Elephas maximus indicus: one gene and its partners. The main gene of each other region encodes a partner of the protein of the gene in region 2 in a complex. Links are inferred from orthologs where the notes say so. Each region holds a gene or a part of one and is shown on either strand. Other genes may lie near its edges.

What was found. Proteins that work in one complex are often made in the same cells at the same time.
Region 1: MYO7B (region 2) and CDHR2 share a complex: the UniProt entries of both Homo sapiens proteins name them as parts of the IMAC/intermicrovillar adhesion complex. The link is inferred for Elephas maximus indicus from reciprocal best matches to the Homo sapiens genes MYO7B and CDHR2.
Region 3: MYO7B (region 2) and CDHR5 share a complex: the UniProt entries of both Homo sapiens proteins name them as parts of the IMAC/intermicrovillar adhesion complex. The link is inferred for Elephas maximus indicus from reciprocal best matches to the Homo sapiens genes MYO7B and CDHR5.

What each region holds. Positions count from the first base shown.
Region 1 is NC_064820.1:196,536,785-196,544,425, reverse strand, and holds the start of CDHR2 (cadherin-related family member 2), read right to left. Parts: upstream 3,009-7,641; coding exon 2,957-3,008; intron 2,682-2,956; coding exon 2,610-2,681; intron 1-2,609. UniProt on the Homo sapiens protein: Intermicrovillar adhesion molecule that forms, via its extracellular domain, calcium-dependent heterophilic complexes with CDHR5 on adjacent microvilli. Thereby, controls the packing of microvilli at the apical membrane of epithelial cells.
Region 2 is NC_064824.1:15,096,050-15,104,137, reverse strand, and holds the start of MYO7B (unconventional myosin-VIIb), read right to left. Parts: upstream 3,059-8,088; coding exon 2,681-3,058; intron 1-2,680. UniProt on the Homo sapiens protein: Myosins are actin-based motor molecules with ATPase activity. Their highly divergent tails are presumed to bind to membranous compartments, which would be moved relative to actin filaments.
Region 3 is NC_064825.1:137,425,016-137,431,939, reverse strand, and holds the start of CDHR5 (cadherin-related family member 5), read right to left. Parts: upstream 3,009-6,924; coding exon 2,785-3,008; intron 2,638-2,784; coding exon 2,536-2,637; intron 2,441-2,535; coding exon 2,359-2,440; intron 2,112-2,358; coding exon 2,036-2,111; intron 1,992-2,035; coding exon 1,816-1,991; intron 1-1,815. UniProt on the Homo sapiens protein: Intermicrovillar adhesion molecule that forms, via its extracellular domain, calcium-dependent heterophilic complexes with CDHR2 on adjacent microvilli. Thereby, controls the packing of microvilli at the apical membrane of epithelial cells.

The sequences.
Region 1 (7,641 bases), on a different chromosome or scaffold from region 2:
GAGCAAAACTGGATTTCTTCAGTGCAGAAAAATGAAACAAGATCCATACCTCATGCCATACACAAAAAACGATTCAAAATGGATCAAGGACTTAAATGTTAAATCTAAAACCATAAAGTTCTTGGAAGAAAATATAGGAACAAAGCTTTGGGATGTAATTTTTTCAGCAATAGATTATCAAACATAACAACAAATACACAAGTAGTAGAGAACAAAATAGATAACTGGGACCTCATAAAAGTTAAATAATGTTTATCAAACGATTTTATCAAGAGAGTAAAAAGTCAGACTACAGATTGGGGAAAATCTTTGGGAACAACATAACTGATAAAAGTCTAATATCTAAAATATACAGAAAACTTCTACAACTTAACAAAAAAACAACCCAAACAAAAACTGGGCAAAGGACATGAACAGGCTTCACCAAGGATGGTATTCGAATGGCCAACAGATACATGAAAAGATGCTCAATGTCATTGGCCCTCAGAGAAATGCAAATCAGAACCACAGTGAGATACCATTTCACTCCCACTGAGATGACTAAGATAAAAAACAAAACAAAAACAGAAAATAACGAGTGTTGGAGGGGATGTGGAGAAATTGGAATCCTCATTCTTTCCCAGTGGGAATGCAAAATGGTACAGTCATTGTGGAAAACACTCTGGCAGTTCCTCAAAAAACTAGAGGTAGAGCTGCCATATGACCTAGCAATTCCAAACCAAACCCAAACCCACTGATGTCGAGTTGATTCCGACTCATAGGACCCTATAGCAATTCCACTCCTACATGTATACCCTAGGGATCAAATAGAAGTGACACGAACAGACATATGCACACCTATGTTGATTGCAGCATTATTCACAATAGCAAAAAGATGGAAACAACCTAAGTGCCCATCAACAGAGGAATAAGTAAAATGTGATATATACATACAATGGAACATAATTCAGCAATAAAGAAAGATGAGTTCCACAAACATCTTACAATGTGGATGAACCCAGAGGACATTATTTTGAGCGAAATAAGTCAGTTACAAAAAACCATATTGTATGTTCTCACTTTTATGAAATGACATGAATAGGTAAATGGACTAGGAGAATGGGACCACCTAAAGCTGAGGAAGCAGAGTTGCTGTCCCAGTGGACCTGGAGGGTGGGCTGACTCCTGGGGACATGGGGCCTCCACTCATAATCTGGAGATTGAGGCCAACACCTTCAATTCATTTTGCAGGGATGGATTTAAAAAAATGAACTGTGCAAAATGAAACAAACTTAAAGATTTGGAGGGTAGTTCCATTGCCCAGATAGTCCTGGAGAACAGAGGATTATTTTCAAGCCTTGAGGGCTAACGTAATTTGCTTTACTGGGTTTTGGACGTGTTTGGTGCCTGTTGTGGATTGAATTGTGTCCCCCCCAAATGTGTGTGTCATCTTGGCCCATGATTCCCAGTATTTTGTGATTGTCCACTATTTTGATATCTGATGTGATTTTCCTATGTGTTGTAAATCTTACCTCTATGATGTTAATGAGGCAGGACTCAATTTACAAGATTAGGTTGTGTCTTGAGTCAATCTCTTTTGAGGTAAAGAAGACAGAAGAGCGAGCAGAGACAGGGGGACTTCATGCCACCAAGAATGAAGAACCAGGAGGGGAGGGCATTCTTTGGACCCAGGGTCCCTGCGCTGAGAAGATCCTAGGGAAAGATTGATGACAAGGACCTTCCCCCAGAGCCGATAGAGAAAGAGAGACTTCCCTGGAGCTGGCACCCTGAATTTGGACTTCTAGCCTCCTAGACTGTGAGAGAATAAGTCTCTGTTTGTTAAAGCCATCCACTTGTGGCATTTCTGTTATAGCAGCACTAGATAATTAAGATGGGTTAGATAATTAAGATAGTGCCCATATGCCCTTCTCTCCCTCCAATTGCTCCCATTTGTAAAGGAAATGTCTACCCTGTGTTTGTTCCACCAGTGTACTTTAGAAGCAGATAACTTGTGTTGTAGGTTTCACATGTTCACTCATGGAGAGGAATTTTGCCCCAGGATGGAATACATTCAGCAAAATCTCACCCATACTTGACTTAGATGATTCAGAAGACTTGATTTAAGACATTCGGGATGGTGTGATAGGGTGAATGTGTTTTGTATGTGGGAAGAACATGAATTTGGAGGGGGCGAAAGGGTGGAATGTTGTGAATTCAATTGTGTCACCCAAAAATATGTGTTATAAATCCTAACCCCTATACTTGTGGATGTAAGAGATGAGGAGAAAACAAACTTCTGGTATTGAATAAACTCACTTCAGGCCCCCTGTGTCCCTTGATGGAGAATCTGGTTGGCGAAAATGGTTAACATACTTGACTGGAGGTTTGAGTCCACCCAGAAGTGCCTTGGAAGAAAGGCCTGGTACTCTTTCCAAACAGTCAGCCATTGAAAACCCTATAGAATACACTTCTACTTTGACACATGTGGGGTTGCCATGAATTGGAATCAACTCGACAACGGGTTTACTGGTTTTGCCCCCCGACAAGATGTGCTGGGGTAGAGCTGCCCCCTGACAGCCCCTGGGACCCTCTTTCAGGTATGGGCTTGGGCATAAAAAAAAATTACTCACCCACTGGCAGGTCCTCCGGCAGGGTCACTGCTGTCATATTTGGCAGGAAAGTTGGGGCCGTGTTGGCTGCCACTACAGGAAGACAGGGCACTGGAACATCTGGACCCCCTGCAACATCTGACCTCCCCCCACCTCTCCAAAGCCCACTCCAGTGCCAACCATCTACCCCAGTTCACCCACCTAGACCTTAGATCCCTCCCCAGGCTTCCTAGTGCAGCCAAGCATACAGTTCGGCCATAGGAGCTCAGTATTTATTGATCAGGGAGCGATTGCCCCATCCCTTCAGAAGGATTATGCCAAGGGTCCCCAGCTTAGCACTACTCTGGTTGGGGAGGGGAGGCACCCACCAGACACCACCAGGGCAGGAAGCAGGACGCAGGACAGCCATGGCCACGCCATCACGTCTGGAGGGACCTAGAAGAGGCAGTTTCAGGGAGGGGTGCCTGGATCTGGGCCTCCCTCCTTTGCCAGGTCCTCGTCTGTCTGGACCTGCCCCCCAGACCTGCCCACCACCCAGCAATTCCCACAGAGCCCCTCCTTGGGTCATGCAGGCATATCACCCTCTGTCCATTTTTCAGATGTTCCATGGGTGGGAGAAACAGAGGTGTGGGCAGACAGCTGAGCCCAATCCAGAGCCCCAGCCTCAGGATGAACCTGAACTTGACTCCAGCATTTGGCACCCACTGCATGACAAGCACTGTTCCAAGCAGGTTAGATGCATTATTTCATTATTCCTGCAACTATGAGGTGGTTATTATCATTGTCCCATTCTACACATGTGGAAACCGAGGCTGAGAGATTAGGAGGCTTGCTGGAGGCCACACTGAGAACCAGTGACAAGATCTCACTTTGAACACAGGTCTTTTGGATTCCAAAATGCATTCCCTCAACCACTACATTATCCCCCCTGTTTGAAATGTCCACACTGATAGCATCCTTCGAAAACAGGGGAGAGGAAAGGGACCATGGCTTGACCAGGATCATCCAGGGACTCCATGGCTGAGCCAGGGTCCTTTGACCTACTTACTGACACATTTAATAGCTGCCATTGCAACCTTTCCTAAAGTGTTCTCCATGGAACCCTCGCCCTGTAAGATGCCCCAAGGCAAAAGGGTTCCCAGATCCAGTCAGATTGGTTAGTACTGTATACTCTGTGCCCTTCTTGGTAATTCAGAGCTGGGCAGGGACTCTTGGAAAACTCTATCTGGCCCTGGCTTTTTGGCCTTTCATGTTGCAAGCTGTCCTTCATCCAAGAAAAAGGGTCTCTGATTCATTGTCACCAAGTGGTCTGAAACCCCAAGGCTTTTTCATCCCCAAAGACAATTGATAATAAGCTACAACGAAGAAAAGGGGAGAGCAGCATGGGTTCTTCAAATGTTTTGTTTCATGCCCTCTGTTAAGACAGTGTTTTTCATGCTTGCTACTCTGTGGAAGCAGAGTCAAGAATCCAAACAACCTATTGCATTGGGCAAATCTGCTGCAAAAGACTTCCTTAAAGTTTTAAAAAGCAAACACGCCACTTTGATGGGTAAGGTGCGTCTGACCAAAGCCATGGTCTTTTCAATCACCTCATGCATGCGAAAGTTGGATGATGAAAAAGGAAGACAGAACTGATGTGTTCAAACTGTGGTGTTGGCAAAGGATACTGAATATACTGCAGACTTCCAGAAGAACCAACAAATTGGTCTTAGAAGTAACACAATTAGAATGTTCCTTAGAAACAAGGATGGCAAGACTTCAACTAGCTTACTTTGGACATGTCATCAGGAAAGACCAACTGCTAGAAAAGGACGTCAAGGTTGGTAAAGTAGAGGGTCGCCAAAAACAAAGGAAGCCATCAATGAGATGGATTGATGCAACAGCTGCAAAAATGGACTCAAACATACCAACAATAATGAAGATGGGGCAAGACCGCCAGTTTCGTTCTATTGCGCATAAGTTAACCATGAGTTGGAGCTGACTTGACAGCAACTAACAAAAACAACTCTATAATAATTCTATTAAGACAAGGATCAACAAACTTTTTCTGTAAAGGGACAAATAGTAGTTTAGGCTTGTGGACCACACAGTCGCTTTAGCAACTACTCAACTCTGCCATCGTAGGCCGAAAGCACCCATAGACAATACGGAAATGAATGGACAGGGCTGTGCTCCAATAAAACTATATTTATGGACACAAAAATTTGAATTTCATATAATTTTCATGTTTTACAAAATATTATCCTTCTTTTAATTTTTTTTCCACAATTTAAAAATGTAAAAGCCCTTCTTAGCTCATGGGGTACACAAAAGCAGGCGGTGGGCCACATTTGGCCTGAAGACCACAGTTTGCCAACCCCTGTCTTTCTGTGCTCAAAACGAGACATTGCATGTCACCACTGGCACTCATCCCAGGTATGAACAGTTAGGTCTCCTTCCTTTCTTGTCTCTGGGGGAGATCTTGCCCCAGACTTTGACTGGCAACCCCTCCTATGGGGCTGGGGGTGTTTTTACTGCTCAGATATTTGAAGCAATTTAGAGAAAAGAATTGCCTCACCAGCGAAGGACAGATAAGCAGTGGAGCGAAATTCAATCACTACTACTTAATATTCACTTAAGTAAAATATAAAAGGAACTTAGTTTGAAACACCATTGTGCCTGGAGATATCATTCTCTTAGGGTTTGAACCTTTCTGAATCAAGGAAATCAGGGCCTAGCAAGGTCTTTGGCTGAGAATTCTCCTAAAACAACAATGTGTAATGGCCCATTAAAGGTACTGACAAGTTCTGGAGGGAAGAGGTCTGTTTAGAATCTGATGTTTCTAATTTATTTGACTTTCAAGAGGCTTTCTTCCCATTGGGCCACGTGTGTGGCACTGAATGCATTTTGAGGAACTGCATTCTGGTGGGCTATGAGTATCTGTCTTCCTAGAGCTGATCGACTCTTGTTTCATTTCATTTCAACAATTATTATTCACCTTCTAGGCTCTGGGCACTGTGATTTGTGTGAGAGTAGAGCTGTGGGAATGTCTCCTCCATTTGGGGAGCCAAGGAGGGCATCTCATTGGTGGACACAGTTAGGTGGGGTCCTGAAGGAAAAGTAGGAGTTTTCCCAGTAGACCTGAAAGGAAAGGCCTTCCAGGTGGAGGGGCCAGCATGTGTGAAGGTACAGAGGTCTAACAGCTCATACCTTATTCAGGGAAATGCAGCAGATGTGGCCAGAGGCCCCATGGTGCATGGCCACTAGACTGAGAGGAGGATGGGAAGGCCTTGGTGTCAGGCTGAGGGACTGGACTTGATCTTACAGATTTTGAAGGAAGATCTCCCAGCATTCCATTCCACTCTTAGGGAACCAGCACCTTCATTTTCTGAGAGTGGAACCCTTCCCCCACTCTGGGGCCTCAAAATCAAGAACAGAGCTGGAACAGGTAAGTCCGCCTCTTCTACAACCTGGTGCCTTAAGTCATGGAATCAGAAAGGGCAAGGAACAGCGAGTGTCCTGGACAGGAAGTCTGACCTGGCTGGGATCAGCTGTGACTCAGCCACTCTGGCTTTGTGGGTCTGGGCAACTCCCTGCCTTCTCTGGGCTGTTTCTTCCTCCATAATCAGCATGTTTCAGTTATCTAGTGCTGCTGTAACAGAAATACCACAAGTGAGTGGCTTTAACAAAGAGAAATTTATTCTCTCACAGTTTAGGAGGTTAGAAGTTCAAATTCAGGGTGCCAGCTGCAGGGGAAGGCTTTCTCTCACTGTCGGCTCTGGGGGAAGGTCCTTCTCATCAATCTTCTCCTGGTCTAGAAGCTTCTGAGGGCAGGGACCCTGCTCAGCTCCTGGTTCATCTTGCTTGATGGTAATGGTACCTCTCCTCTCTGCTGGATTGTCTCTTTTATATCTCAAAAGAGATTGACTCAAGATACAACCTAATCCAGTAGATTGAGTCCTACCTCATTAACATAACTAGCTCTAATCCTGCCTCATTAACATCATAAAACTCGTTGGGGTCAAGTTGATTCTGACTCATAGCAACCCTATAAGACAGAGTAGAACCGCCCTATAGGGTTTCCAAGGAGTGGCTGGGGGATTCAAACTGCTGGCATTTTGGTTAGCAGCCAAACACTTAACCACTGCACCACCAGGGTCCCAATAACATCGTAGAGGTTAGGATTTCATAGGATAATCACATCAGATCACAAATGATGGACAACCACTCAGTACTGGAAATCATGGCCTAGCCAAGTGACACAAATTTTGGGGGGACACAATTCAATCCATAACACAGGGGTGAATGTTCCCCCCTGTAAGGGAACATCTTTCTCATTCAATAAAGAAAATGTCAACAACCAAATGGAAAAGTGAGTAAGGATATGAACAGACAGATGATGAACTAGGAAACACAATTGGCTCTTTGAAAATATAAAGCTACTGTGTGAGAATGGCGGTACAACTTGAGGAATATAATCAATGTTACTAAATTGTACATGTAGAAACTGTTGAATTGGTGTATATTTTGCTGTGTATATTCTCAGTGACAACAACAAAATAAATAAAATTTAGAAACAAAAGAAAAAATATAAATCTGCTCAATGTCACTCATAATAAGAGAAATGTGAATTATGACTAATTTGCAGTCCAGTTTTCACTTATGAAACTGACAAAATGAAGGTGTTAGATAATGCATTGCGTGGCTGAGGCCACAGGGAGATGGGCATGCAGTGCTAGGGAGATGCAAATCGGTACAACCTTGGGTAGGGCAAGTGGGCAACATCTCTCAAAATTACAAGCCCATGTACTTATACACCAATGTTCATTGCAGAACTATTCACAACACCCAAAAAGTAAAAACAGTCAAGTGTTCATCAGTGGATGAATGGGTAAATAAAATGTGGCATATCCATACTATGGAATATTACTCAGCCATAGAGAGAAATGAAGTTGACTTGAGATCATTATACTGAGTGAAGTAAGTCAGTCACAAAAGGACAAATATTGTATGATCTCACGTATATGAATTACCTAAAATAGGCAAATACATAGAGATTGATGTTTAATAGCTG
Region 2 (8,088 bases):
AAAAGGCAGGATGAGAATGGTTGCACAACTCTAGGAATGTAACCAAGGTCACTGAATTGTACGTGTAGAAATGGTTGAATTGGTGTGTGTTTTGCTGCGTGCGTTCTCAACAACAAAAAATGAAATTAAGAAAAAAAGTAAAGGAACCTTTAGACCAGAAGAACCAGATGGTGATTGGCTACCACTACTGACCGTTCTGATCAGGGCCACAACAGAGGGATCCTGACAGAGCTGAAGGAAAATGCAGAGCAGAACTCAAATTCATAAAAAGTTCAGACTTACTGGACCAGTGGAGACTAGAGAAATCCCTGAGACTATCACCCTGAAATACTTTTTAAACTTTGAACCAAAACTATTCCCTGAGATCACCTTTTAGCAAAATAAGAGATTGGCACACAAAATAAAGGATATTACCCATGAGTATGATGCTCCATTAAAAAAAATCTCTCTATGAGACCAAAAGGTCAACAATTACTCTAAAGCAAAAATGAGAAGTTTAGGGTACATGGAAACTAAAAAAAAACCCAAATCCATTGCCCCAAAGGACTACAATCTGGCTCAGCTATGGGCCTTTGCATGTTGCTGTTTCCTTCGCCTGGACCACCCTTACCACCTTATACATACTCAGAACATGTAGCAATCCTAGAGCTATTATCAAAACTTGGGATCATGAATAGACATTTCACCAAAGAGGAATTGCAAATGTCCAGCAAGCACATGAAAAGGTGCTCAACATCATTAGTCATCCCAAAAACATGTTGCCTTCGAGCCAATTCCTACTCATAGCAACCCTATAGGACACAGTACAACTGCCTCACAGGGTTCCCAAAGAGCACCTGGTGGATTCGAACTGCCGACCTTTTAGTTAGCAGCCGTAGCATTTAACCACTATGCCACCAAGGTTTCCTCATTAGTGTTAGGGAGATGCAAGTCAAAACCACAAGGAGATACCACTTCACCCCCCACTAGAATGGCTATGATAGGAAAAAAGGGAAGATAACATGCTGGCAAGGATGTGGGGCAATTGGAACCCTCGTCCATTGCTGGTGGAACTGTAAAATGGCACAGTCGCTGTGGAAAAGTTTGGCAGTTCCTCAAAAGGTTAAACACAGAATTAACATATGACCCAGCAATTCCACTCCTAGGTATGTACCTGAAAGAACTGAAAGCAGGACGCAAACAGGTATTTGTACACAAACGTTCATTGAAGCACTATGCACAACAGCCAAAAGATGGAAACAGCCTAAATGTCCATCAACAGATAAATGGATAAACAAATTGTGGCCGTGCATATAATGGCATATTAACTCTGCCATAAAGAGAAATGAATCTTGAAAAAACTGTACTGAATGAAATAAGTCAGTCACAAAAGGACAAATACTGTATGATCTCACTTCTATGAAACAGGCAAATGTATAGAGATCAAAGTTTGTTAGTATTTACCACAGTTGGGAGGGAGGGGGAAAGGAGATGTCATTGTTCAGGGGCATTGAGCTTCTGTTAAGGTTAATGGAAAATTTTGGAAATGGATAGTAGTGGTAATTGTAATATATGATGAATGTAACCAGTGTCACTGACTTGCACAAGTAAAAAAAATGTTGAATTGGCAAATGTTTTGTTATATATATTGTTACCACAATAAAACAATTAAAATTAAAAAACAGTTGGGATCAAGTGTGGCTTCCAATGACCCCATGTGATGCTCACAACAATAGTATTTTTATTCCTTTTTTACTACAAAGATGTAAGTGGTAGTGTTGGTATTTGAACCCAGGTCAGTCCGGCTCCAAGATGTGGTAGACAGTAAGAGGGAGGAACTCTTGAAGGCAAGAGAGGTTGGAGAAAGATGGGAGGAGGAGGTGTCAGTTGACTGGGGAGCAGGTGGCTGACTCACCTGTGATCTTTGTACCTCAGAAGCTGTGGCTGTTCTCCCTCTAGCCCCAGGCAAGAATCAGTTGGGGCAGGGATGACCCAGGTCAGAAAGGGAACTGTTGCTGATGCCCTGAGACGTTTATCTCAGATGGGCCGTTGGACAGATGATAAAAAGGTCCAGATAATGGAAGAGGCCTGGAGAGGTATGTGGCCTCAGTTTTACCCCTGTTGAACAGGGCACCTTCACAGGCTGTTTTGAAGATGTAGAGTTAAGGGGCCCCCATAGTGCCCAGCACAGAGTAAGGCAGAGGTGTAGCAGTAAAGCAGTAATAGGCTCAACATGGATCTGCCCTTTAGTCAACAGCCACGGGGCCCTCTGATGGACACGGACAATTACCCTGCTCTCAAGGCACTGGGACTCTGAAAAGATAGAGCAGGCCCACAACTGCATTTGTGAGTAATTTCTCCCAAGATGGATCTTTCTAAACTCTGCTTCCAGTTAGTCCGGTTCCCAAGGAGACCTTTCTGGGTAATGCATCCCATGGGGCTATTCCCTCGTGAAATAAGACTGGCTTTGCCTTCAAGCCTCCTCAGGCTCCAAAGTGGTTCCAAGCTCTCCTGTTTTGGACTTAGTAAGGAACAGCCCTTGTAACCTAAATTTTTAGACCACATGTGTCCCCTCCAGCCTAGAATAGTCTTCTTTTCTGCAATTGCAAAAAACCACCTTCACCACCCCGCAGCCAGGAGAAGAGGATGGCTGCTTTGTGGAGAACATTTGGACATTTTATCTTTAAAGAGGACTTGCTACATGGTCTGGCTTTCCTGGGTCTTGTCGGGCATGGGAGGAGGGTGGAATACTGGAGGGCAGGGAGGGCGCCAGGCTGGTTGGAGGGTCTCCCCTACACTCTGGGTTGTCTGGAGGCAGTGGCGTCACTAAGGTAGTCGGGGGGGGGGAGGGGTTGTGGGCTGCACCCCCTGACACTGTCAGAGGGGGTGACAGCAAAATGACCCCAGGGTCAGCGGCAGCGGCGGCCGCAGCAGTGGTGGCGGACCAGCAGGCGCTGGGGAGGGGCCACCAAGGCAGTGGCGTCACTAGGTTAGTGTCACCCGTCACCCACTGCAGTAACTCCTCACCACTCCCCTCGCCCCGACAACCTGCTAGTCGGGGTGCACGTGGCCAGGCCATAGCGTCCACCATTGGGTGGAGAGAGAGGGTCTCCACCTTGGCCAATGGGAGAGGGGAGGAGCTGCTGGAACCCGGGCGTGGGGCTCGGATGGGCGGGGCCTCGGCGCTGCAGCTCTGCGGGGGCGGGGGGAGTTGGTGATACCCTGAGTTACCACACTGGTGACACCAACACTAGTGATGCTGCTCTGGAGGCCCGTCCCTGACCCCAAGGCAGGGCCACTGACTCATCTCATTTGCCTCAGCGCAGGGCCAGGCCCCAGGAGAGGCACAGGGAAGCCTGTTGACTAAGCTGTAAATGTGAAGCTCCTCTGCTTCCTTCCGCAGAGTGGCTCGCTCCTTGCCGCTGAGACACACCAGGCACCTAAATAAACATTTGCTGAGCAAAGGGAAGATGTGCAGAGGCCAGAGGTGGCGGCTTGCCTCTGCCTGAGCTCCCCGCTCGCCCGCATTGGCCTCATCTGTTTTCTCTGTGCGAGCTCCTTGCAACTGCCCCAATGGGACAAGGAAGGAGGATCTCTGTTAAGATGTTTTAAGCCCAGAATGTAAGTGGAGGGTTGCTGCCAAGGTCCATGGGCTGGCCACACTCATTTTCTTTAGATTATATAATCTGTTTTATTCCTCCAATATCCTTGTCCCTGGCATTTTCCTTATGCGGACCTCATTGCCTCTCCCCTTCTTTCCTTGGAAGTGATTTAACTCAGCCTTGGGCACTTTCCCTAGATCACCCTGTGGGGTTAATTTTACGCAAAGAATTTTGTCTTTGTCCTTGGTTCTTGAGAGATAACCTCTAAAACCTTAGACTTTTCCCAATAATTGAAGTGTCTTTGATGAAGGCTCCAGACCACACCTAAGGGTTCATGACTCATGTTGGGTGGGGGCCGACTGTGCCAGAAGGATATATTGTGATATTGACTGAACTCAGGGAGAAGGGCTGGAGTTTGAATTATTTAACGAGACCACCAATAAAAGCTCTGGACACTGAAGCTCCAGGGCCTTCCTGGTTGGTGATAGACACTTGTGCACATGGGAGGGTAGCGTAACCCCTTTTGGAACATGGAAGCTCTACATGGGGAACCCTCTCAGACCTCACCCTATACAACTCAGCATTTGTATCCTTTTCACCATAATAAAGTTGTGACCAAAGTATAGCATGTTCTGTGAGTTCTGTGAGTCGTTCTAGTGAATTACCCAACACAAAGAAGTAGTAGGAGTCGAAGGTCAGAAGTGAGGCGGAGCCCTGGGGATCCCTGAGCCTAAGGCTGGCATCCTGAGGGGGTAGTAAGAAAACCCCAAATTTGTAGCCAGCATGGGATCAGAAGTGATGATGTCATAGGGAGTCCAAGCTTGCACCTGGCATCTGAAGTGTTAGGCAGGCTTGGCAGTCTGGAGGACTGTGCCCTATTGACTTGTGAGATCTGATCTAGTTCCAGGCGGTTAGGGTCAGAGGAAGAAGTGCTACATGTGTAGCTGGTATCAGAGCAGAAGTGGAACAGATGGGGCAGAACTGATAGTAAATTGATTTGGATTGATCAAAATATCTGGTATCAGAGAAGTGGGGTTTTGATTTTTCCTAGCAAAGCTCTAGATCAAATCAATGCAATTCTTACCAGCCTGAAAACCGCCATTCTGAGTCAGCAGCAGCTCCTCACAGCCTGTATGCGGAGAGAAAGCAGAATGTCAGAACCCTCATGCTCCTCTGGCTCAGAGCCCCTGGAAGGCCTCCACCCGCTATTCTAACTTGAAACACTGCTGTCTTTTCCTATGTTGCACTTAAGGTTGAGATTGGTATGAGGGAGAGACGTGTCTGTTTTCTTCATCACTAAGTTCCCTGCATTTAGCATAGGCCTGGCCCCCAGAAAGGACTTAGTAACTGACTATTCGTTCCATAACAGACAGAATGAAGCCCTTGGAGAGGCTGTTACTTTTATGACGGCTTTGATGGATAAGCATTCACAGTGGGAAAAGGGCATGGTGTCCTCTTAGGATGGCCCAGCTTTAGCAAAGGCACAGCGGGATCTAGGGCAAGCGGTTATTAGGGGCCAGCATGTTGGGAATGAGCAGACTGAGAGTGGGAGCATAGGAGGAGCATGAACTGTGACAAAGACTCCTTTTGCCACTCTATTCTGTTGGACAGAGGAGAGGCATACGAAGAATTTTTTCATTCCAAGTTTTATTTAGTGCACAGGTATTTATACATTTAATAACAATAATAGCCCACCCATTTGTTGAGCATAGATTCCATTTTAAGGTCTGTGGTGATACTTTTCTTTCTAACCCCAAAAGATGGGTACCCCTTTGCTAGTCTTGTTCACACTCCCCTGGGGGCAAAGGGAAGGAGGAGGCTGTGCTGGGATGTTTAGGTGACCGAGTTGCAGAGCCATGGAATCTGAGGGTGTTCTCTAGGGAACTCCAGCCTGGCTCCCCGTGGATGTTCAGGTTCCACGGCCTTCCTGCCCTGCATAGGGGCCCGGGGGAAGGTGGCACGGCATGATGGGAATATGCAGGTCTACCACACAGGAGCTGTGTGAGCTGGAGAAGTCCTCAGGCTGACTTAGCCTCAGCCGGAACCGAAACTCACTCTGTCCTGAAATGGGAAAGACTTGGATTTTGTGGGTCAGCTGTAAGGACTGAGATGCTATATGAAGGTGCCTGGCACAGAGTGAGGACTCAGAAAATGCTTGTTCTGTGCCCAACGCCTCTCCAGGGGGCTTTCCTATGGTTCTGAGGGATCACCAGCTGCTGAGGTGACTGACAGAGCTGCAGCCTTGATTCACACCCCCTGTCCTGGGGAAGCAGGCCCAAGAGATGGCCTGGCAACCTGCGGCCATTGTGAATGCCAGTTTTGCATAGCTTTGGAATCTCTTTACTCCCGTTTACAAGTTGGAGCCTCAACATACCAAAAATTAACAGCCACCTTTGGGAAAGAACTTCCTGTGTGGCAGACACACCTCTGAGAAGAAACACTGTTATTCCCATTTTACAGGTGAGAAAACTGAGACTTTCAAATGTTAAATAGCTGGTAAGTGAGGGAGTCTTCTACCCAACTCCAACTCCAAAATCCACGTTCTTTGCCTTACCTCATCTTGTTTGGAAAAGTTTAAGAGTCTGTGTAAACGTGCAGAGAGGACCTCAACTGAATCCTGGCTCCTGAGGAAGCTCTTTCAAGGAGAGGCTGGTCCACCTCCCACCCTCACAATCCCAAGGAGGTGGTGGAGGTGGTAGCAGAGGGATGAGGTGCAGGGAGGCATTGCCCTGCTTCTGGCCTTTCACTTCTGCACCCCCAGCCTCGGCTCTTTCACCCTCTGCCCTCCTTACCCACAGCGTCTGACCTCCATGTATGTTATGTCGTCCCTCTCAGACACCAAGATCTGCCTCACAGTTCCCCCCACCCCACGCCAGTCTTGTCACTCCTCACAGGAGATGACCTCACACATGTCAGCCTCGCTCTCATTCTCCTATTCAGAATTGTTATCTCCTTTCACTGTGGCCCCTCACCCCCTCCATGTCTCCCTAGTCTTGTCAACCACATCTGGCTTCATTTCTAGCGTGGAAACAGCCTTCAATAAATACCCATGACTGAAATACAAAAATAAAGTATGAGAAGAGAGGTGAGGCCAAGATGGTAGAGTAGGCAGATGCTTCATATGGTCCCTCTTAATATAAAGACTCGAAAAAACAATTATATGTGATGATCTAAGATGAACATCAAAAGCAAAGATGAGGAATCAGACTGAGCGTCAGGGGGAGTGAGAGATGGTTCAGAAGCAGCAAGGAGTTGCCAGACCTGACCTGGTTGGCACTGGCACCCTGCAGGCTGGGTTGGCTGATGAGTGGTGAGGCAAGCAGTGGCATTTGAGATGTGTTTTCCACATCAGGAGAGACCAAGTGGTGGAGAGTCTGCTCAAGCTTCCAGAACCAGCAAGAAATGGTGCTCAAGTGGTGAAAGAAAAGTACAACCATCTAACCTATCACACAGATCAAAAAAAAAAAACCCCTTTTGGGAAATGCCTCTTTCCCATTTACCTGCCCCCTCCCTACTCTGTTCTGGGTCTCCGTCTGGCTTCAGTGACTGCTGCACCCTCTGGACCAGAAGTAGGACCTGTCGCAACCCTGAGCCATTCTCCTGGCTTTGGAAAAGGAACAAATTAAAAAACAGGAAAAATAATCTGCCAGCTCCCTTAAGCTGGGAACTCAGGGCAGGTACAGCCCCTTTGTCTAGGCACAGGTATAAGGGGTCCAGGGACTTTGAATACCTTTCACCCCTGCATAGACCTCTATAGGTCCGTTTCAACAGCACTGGCCATAAATAGCACAGTATAACAGGGTATATAACTGAAGCCTATCTTCATCTGTATCTGCTATAAGGGAGAGTAGCAGATTTGTGACATTTGACACAGCCCTGCCCATTAGGCAGCATCCTCACCTACACACATCAGGGGCCTGAGGACTGGTGACTCTACCCAGTCCACCAAGCCACCTGCAGTAGAGGTCTAGGAATAAGTGGTGACTCCCAGTCTTTACAGAAAACAGCATTGGGTGCCCATAGTCCAGCTGCAAAACCCACCTATCTACGCACTCTAGGAAGAGGGACACACCTTCTGTTCAGACACTCAGGGGCAGAAGTTACCCCCTGCCTTGATCAGCTCATGACCCCCTACGGCATCCAGGTACCTATGCCTACTCCAGTCACCCCTTCCCATCTAGGATTGTAGGTGAGAGCCTGCACCACACATTTGGTGACCAATGACCTGGACACCTGAGCTGAATCCACACAAGTAAAGTAAATGGACTCCTGGGCTCATATAACTAGCAACAGCTTTAACCATCTGGAGACAGGGCATGAGCACTTCAAAGGTGCCAAAAAGTAGCTCACATGATCAACCTATTTGGGATATCAAAACAAAACAAAACAAGAAGCTAGGACACAGTAAGCAAACATAAAATAAATGAATATGATAACTTACTGAAGGCTTGGAGGAAACAGTCAATATCAAATCACATAAAGAGGCAGACCATGATGGCTTCAGCAA
Region 3 (6,924 bases), on a different chromosome or scaffold from region 2:
AGTTTGTTGTGTTCCCTTTCTACCACCCTCTCCCACCCCGCCCCAGGCTGCCCCACCCTCCCACCTCGTGCACATTTCTAGTCTTATTTCCTAGAACCTCCTTGGGGCAAAGTTCCTAAGGTGACCCATGAGGTCCTGTCCCTGCGAGGTCCAGACCCTGGTTCTGTGCTCTGGCCATCCTTCCCTTTGCACCAGCCCTCCGGTCAGAAGGAAAAGGCTCTTTTGCATGTCCCTGGCACACCCTTGTCTGTTCCTAAACACAAGTCAGCTTCCTCCAGGTGGGGCTGGGCAGGGCCCAAGAGATGGAGATAGAGGTGTTTATGGGGCAGCTCAGTGGAGACTCCTCCCACAGGCCTGGATTAAATTGGGTCCTCCAAGAATCTGTACTGTAAATCCTAGGCTCTGTGCCTGTGGTTGTAACTGTGTTTGGGAGAGGGTTGTCTTTGTTATGTTAATGAGGCAGGATTAGTTTAGGGTGTATTTTGAGTCAATCTCTTGAGATATAAAAGAGATTAAACAAGCAAGCGAGTGAAGCAGAGATGGAGGAAGAGAGATGCCAAGCCACATGAAGATTGCCCAGGAGCAGAAGCTCAGAGAGCCAAGGACCTTCCTCCAGAGTTGACAGAGAGAGAGAGCCTTCCCCTAGAGCCAGCACCTTGAATTCAGACTTCTAGCACCTTGAATTCAGACTTCTAGCATCCTAAACTGTGAGAAAGAAACCCTGGTGGCGTAGTGGTTAACTGCTAAGGCATCAAAAGGTCAGCAGTTCGAATCCACCAGGTGCTCCTTGGAAACTCTATGGGGGCAGTTCTACTCTGTCCTATAAGGTCTCTATGAGTCAGCATTGACTTAACCGCAATGGTAATGGGGAAACTATGAGAAAATAAATTTCTGTTTGCTAAAACCACCCCCATGTTGTATTTCTGTGATAGCAGCATGAGATAACTGAGACAGTGGGGTCATGGTGAGGCCCTGGCCCCAGCCCCCCTGCCCTACCACTGTGGGGGCTCACTGTCCCCGGCCCCTCCTGTCCCACATGTATCTTTCCTTGGCCTCCCAAGCCCTCTTCCCACCCCCCAGTCCAGGAACACTTGGCAGAGGCACCTGGGTAGGGTCTGGAGGGGGAGGGGCTGTTGTAATGGGGGGTGGAGCCCCCCCACTCCTGCCCTTACACCTCTTCTGTCCAAGGCAGAAACACCCTCTCCTAGCCCACACCTCTCTGCCATTTCCTGGCCCTCCATCTGCTGCTCACGCCCACGCTATTATCTGGGGGTGCATCCAAGTCCCTACTTCGTAGGTGTAGTGTGGCCCAGCCTCTGGCCCAAGACCATGCAGCCTGGCCAATGAGAGCCCTCTCACTCTGGAGCCAGGCTCTGGTCCTCCTGGGTAACACTCCCTGCTGTCCTGAGCCTCCTTACCCCCTTCCGGACCCCCGACCTCTTGCTGCAAACACACTGACCACTTAGTTCCTGGGGAGGAATGTTAGCTGAGTGGATGGACATGGGTCCGGGCAGGACACCACCCCACCAGCTGGACTGATGGACAGGAGGTGGCACCGATGCCAAGATAAAGAAATACTAAGGAGAGGCACTGAAAGGCCAGCTCGGTCCCAAGTTTAAAGGGCAGCCTGGCATGCCAGGCATGGCCACAGTCCTTGAAGTGGTGGACCTGGGGGCATCCTTCCACCTGACAGCTGCCCCCTCCTCTCCTGCAGGGGGCTGCCTCAATGGACTGAGACGGTGCATACAGTGGGCTCATGGGGCCAGGGTCTGAATTTCTCCTTTATTAGTGCCAAGTATGTCCCCGCCCCCCCACCCCTCCCTCAGGCTCTGGCTCCAGGTCCAGGTCAGTGGAAAGACGCCTTCCTCCTCCAGCTTCATCTAGGCTGCCAGGACCCTTCAGCTCCCAGGGTGTCTGGCTCCCAAATCCTGACTCCAGACCCGGGCGGGGAAGGCAGCCCAGCTTGAGCCCTTGCTGGATCGCCCGGCATCCTGCAGAAAGGAGCCAAGTGAGCAGGGGTCTGGACACCCCCTACTGGGTGAAACTAGGGCTCCTCTGGTCGGTGTCATGCCACCCCCACTGCCAACTCCAGCTCCTGCATCTGGGGGCCGCTGGGGAGGCGGGGGGGGGGGGGGTCAGGCAGGTGCTGGGGCGCGCTGTGCTCACCAGGCCTGCAGGGCGCCTGGGTCGGACCACAGCAGGCAGAGTCGGCCCTCCAAGGTCTGGACCTGGGCGGTGCTGTTCTCTGTGTCCTGCTCACTGACCCCGCCCCCCAATCAGAATTAGTCCTGGAGTTGGGGGGATCAGACACTGCTGAAGTGGGGCAGGGGTGAGGGGGGCGTGCCCCACATGGGGTACCCGCCGCCTCCCCGGCTCAGGGGTGCCCCCGCCTGCCTCCTCCTCGTCTCTGGGATGCTGCCGCCAGCCCCCCTCCTCGGACCTGGGGCCTCCGCCAGACCACTTCCCCGGTTCTGGGATGGCCTCCTGGTCTCCCTCACCCGCTGTACAGTGCCCCTGCCGGCCCTCCACGCTCACCTGCGCTTTCCCACCAGGTCCTGGAGCAGCCGCTGCAGCCGCGCGCTGTCCCGCAGGCGGCTCAGCTCGCTTGTGAACGTCCCATCCGAGTGTCTCAGAGCCCTTGGGGGGTCGCAGGGCCGGGTCAGGACGCCAGGGGCTCCCCAGGGGCCGTGCAACTCCGGGCAGGGAGGAGGCTGTGGGGCGGCGCGGGCTCGGGCGGCGGGCTTGTCTGGGGGGCGCGGGCTCACCTGGGGGGCGCGGGCTCACCTGGGTGGCGCGGGGCGCGCGGCGGAGGCCCGGAGCAGCGGCAGCAGCAGGAGCAGCAGCAGCGCGGCGGGCGGCGGGGAGGCCATGGCGGGCTCGGGGCTGTGCTGAGCGCTCACGTCGGCGTCCGGAGTCCTGCGCCACCCCTTTATAGCCCCCAGGGCCGGGCTTGGGGTGGGGGGGCCCGGAGGGGCTTCCGCCCCGGCTCCGAGCTGCCGGGGCCTCATTGATCGTTCCGGAAGGTCAGGGCCACCCCCCAGCTGTCGACTGGCGACCGCCTGTCCTCCCCGCCAAGTTGGCGCTCCTAGGCGGGCTGGCGGCGGGGGGCGTCCATGGGGGCGCAGACAGGAGGGCTGCGGGGGCCGGGGGCGCCTCCACTGGCGGGTTCAGGAGGGTCTGGGAGGGAGGAGGGTGTCCGGCTGCGAGTTCGCCCCGGGTGGGCCAGGCTATGGGAACAGCAAGTGCAAAGCCTCTGCGCTGCGACCCTGTGCACTAAGGCTGCAGGAGCAGAGCCCAGCGTGGGGGCCCCGAAGGGGGCAGCTGGGCCAGCGGAGGCGCTGGGGGCCTGGAGGTGGGCCCCGGGGAGGAATGGTGAACAACTGAAGGTGCCCAGGAGCATCTGGGGTCAGGGCTGGGACGGAGAGGGCGAAGCGACAGGATCCCGCGGGTGGCCCCCGGGAGGCCCCGGCAGGAGGATGGGCGCGGCGGCCAGGGGAGGAAGGAGTTGGTGCAGGCGGGGACTTCGTGATCTGGCTGCCAGGCGCTGTGCAGGGGCTGGGATGTGAGCACTGGGAGGGCGAGGGGCCGGGTGACAGGTGGGATGCGGAGAATTACACCGCTTCACGGGGCTTTACATTTCATTTGTGCAGGTGGGAGGGACACGCACCTATGGAAGGCCGGGCCTGGGGATGGAGATACCACAGATGAGGGAGGAAAGGCTGGGGGTGGGGGAGACTGCGGTGTCACTCATGCTTTAGTCGATGCAGTATTCACTCCAGTTCAACCCCTAACAGCTTGTTCCCATGAAGCACTTCAACATAATTTACAAATCTAGGAAAATCAAGCATAAAACTAGCGGCTCTTGTGTTAAACTTTACAGGCTTTCTTAAGCAGCTTCTGCCGCTTGTTCTGTCCCAAAACTGGCTGATTAGAACCCTCAACACTGTAATTAACTACAGAGGGAATAATTACCTTCACCTTTATGTAAGTATTGGAAATGTCTAACGAACTCCAATTTTATCTACTTCCACAGCACCTCAAATCTTAAGTAACCAGGCAGTCCTTGATAAGAAACATTTTATGCAAACATCCATTAATAATCAGAATGTGGAATGCACAAAGTATGAATCTAGGAAAAACAGAAGCTGTCAAATTTGAAACGGAATGCATAAAGATTGATATCAAAGGCATTAGTGGGCTGAAATGGACTAGTATTGCCCATTTTGAATCAGACAACCACATGGCCTACCATGCCAAGGATGACAAATTGAAGGCGAACAGCATCACATTCATCGTCAAAAAGAACATTTCAAGATCTATCCTGAAGTACAACGCTGTCAGTGATAGGATAATGTCAACAGGCCTACGAGGAAGACCTGTTAATATTAATATGATTATTATTCAAATTTACGCACCAACCACTAAGGCCAAAGATGAAGAAACTGAAGATTTGTACTAACTTTTGCAGTCTGAAAGTCATCAAACATGCAATCAAAGTGCATTGATAATTACTGACGATTGGAATGGGAAAGCTGGAAACAAAGAAGGATTGACAGTTGGAAAATATGGCCTTGGTGATAGAAATGATGCCGGAGAGCCCATGATAGAATTTTGCAAGACCAATGACTTTTTCATTTCAAGTACCTTTTTTCAACAACATAAATGGCAACTATACATACCAACCTCACCAGGTGGAAAACACAGGAATCAAATCAACTACATCTGTGGAAAGAGAAGATGGAAAAGCTCAATATCATCAGTCAGAACAAGGCCAGGGGCCGACTGCGGAAAAACACACCATCAATTGCTCATATGCAAGTTCAAGTTGAAGCTAAAGAAGATTAAAACAAGTCCACGAGAGCCAAAACATGGCCTTGAGCATATCCCGCCTGAATTAAGAGACCACCTCAAGAATAGATTTCAAGCACTGAACACTAATGACCAAAGACCAGATGAGTTGTTGTAAGACATCAAGGACGTCATACATGAAGAAAGCAAAAGTTCGTTAAAAAGACAGAAAAGAAATAAAAGACCAAAATGGATGTCAGAAGAGACTCTGAAACTTGCTCTTGAACATAGAGTAGCTAATGGGAATGAAGAAATGATGAAGTAAAAGAGCTGAACGGAAGATTTCAAAGAGCTACTTGAGAAGAGGAAGTAAAATATTATAAGGAAATGTTCAAAGACCTGGAGTTAGAAAACCAAAAGGGAAGAACACACTTGGCATTTCTCAAACTGAAAGAACCGAAGAAAAAAATTCAAGCCTCAAGTTGCAATTTGGAAAGATTCTATGGGCAAAATATTCAGGGATTCAGGAAGCATCAAAAGAAGATGAAAGGAACGCAGAGTCACAGTACCAAAAAGAATTGGTTGACGTTCAACCATTTCAGGAGATAGCATATGATCAAGAACCAATAGTGTTGAAGGAAGAAGTTCAAGCTGCGTTGAAGGCATTGTCAAAAAACAAGGCTCCAGGAATTGATAGAATACCAACTGAGATGTTTCAAAAAAGGGATGCAATGCTGGAGGTGCTCATTCATCTATGTCAAGAAATTTGGAAGTCAGCTCTCTGGCCAACCAACTGGAAGAGGTCCGTATTTGTGCCCTTTCCAAAGAAAGGTGATCCAACAGAATGTGGAAATTATCTAACAATAGCATTAACATGACACGCAAGTAAAATTTTGCTTAAGATCATGCAAAAGCAGTTGCAGCAGTACATCAACAGGGAACTGCCAGAAACTCAAGCCAGATTCAAAACAGGACATGGAACAAGGGATATCAACTGCTGATGTCAAATGGATCTTGGCTGAAAGCAGAGAATACTGGAAAGATGTTCACCTGTGTTTTATTGACTATGCACAGAAATTTGGCTGTGTGGATCACAAGAAATTACAGATAACATTGCAAAGAATGGAGATTTCGGAACACTTAATTGTGCTCATGAGGAACCTGTACTTAGACCAAGAGGCAGTGGTTTGAACAGAACAAAAGGATACTGTGTGGTTTAAAGTCAGGAAAGGTGTGCGTCAGGGTTCTATCCTTTCACCATACTTATTCAATCTGTGTGCTGGGCAAATAATCCAAGAAGCTGAGCTATATGAGCAAGAATGTGGCATCAGAATTAGGGGAAGACTCATTAAAAACTTGTGATATGCAGATGACACAGGCTTGCTTGCTGAAAGCAAAGAGGACTTGAAGCACTTACTGAAGAAGATCAAAGACTATAGCCTTCAATATGGATTACACCTTAACATGAAGAAAACAAAAATCCTCACAACTGGACCAATAAGCAACATCATGATAAACGGAGAAAATATTGAAGTTGTCAAGGATTTCATTTTACTTGGATCCACCAACAACATCCATGGAAGCAGCAGTCAAGAAATCAAATGACGTATTACATTGGGCAAATCTGCTGCAAAAGACCTCTTTAAAGTGTTGGAAAGCAAACATGTCACTTGAAGGACTAAGGTATATCTCATATGCATGTGAAAGCTGGACAATGAATAGAGAAGACCAAAGAAGAATTAATGCCTCTGAATTATGATGTTGTCAAAGAATGTTGAATCTACCATGGACTTCCAGAAGAAGGAATAAGTCTGTCTTGGAAGAAATACAGCCAGAGTGCTCCTTTGAAGTGAGGATACCCAGACTTTGTCTGATGTACTTTTGACATGTTATCAGGAGGCACAAGTCCCTGGAGAAGGACTTCATGCTTGGTAAATAGAAGGTCAGTGAAAAAGAAGAAGACCCACAAGGAGATGGACTGATACAGTGGCTGTAACAATGTGGTCAAGCACAACAATTATGAGGATGGTGCAGGACTGTAAGTGTTTTGTTCTGTGGTAGACAGGGTGCTTATGAGTTGGAATTGACTCAAGGGTACCTAACAACAACAACATAGAATAAAACTGCCTCTCTTTT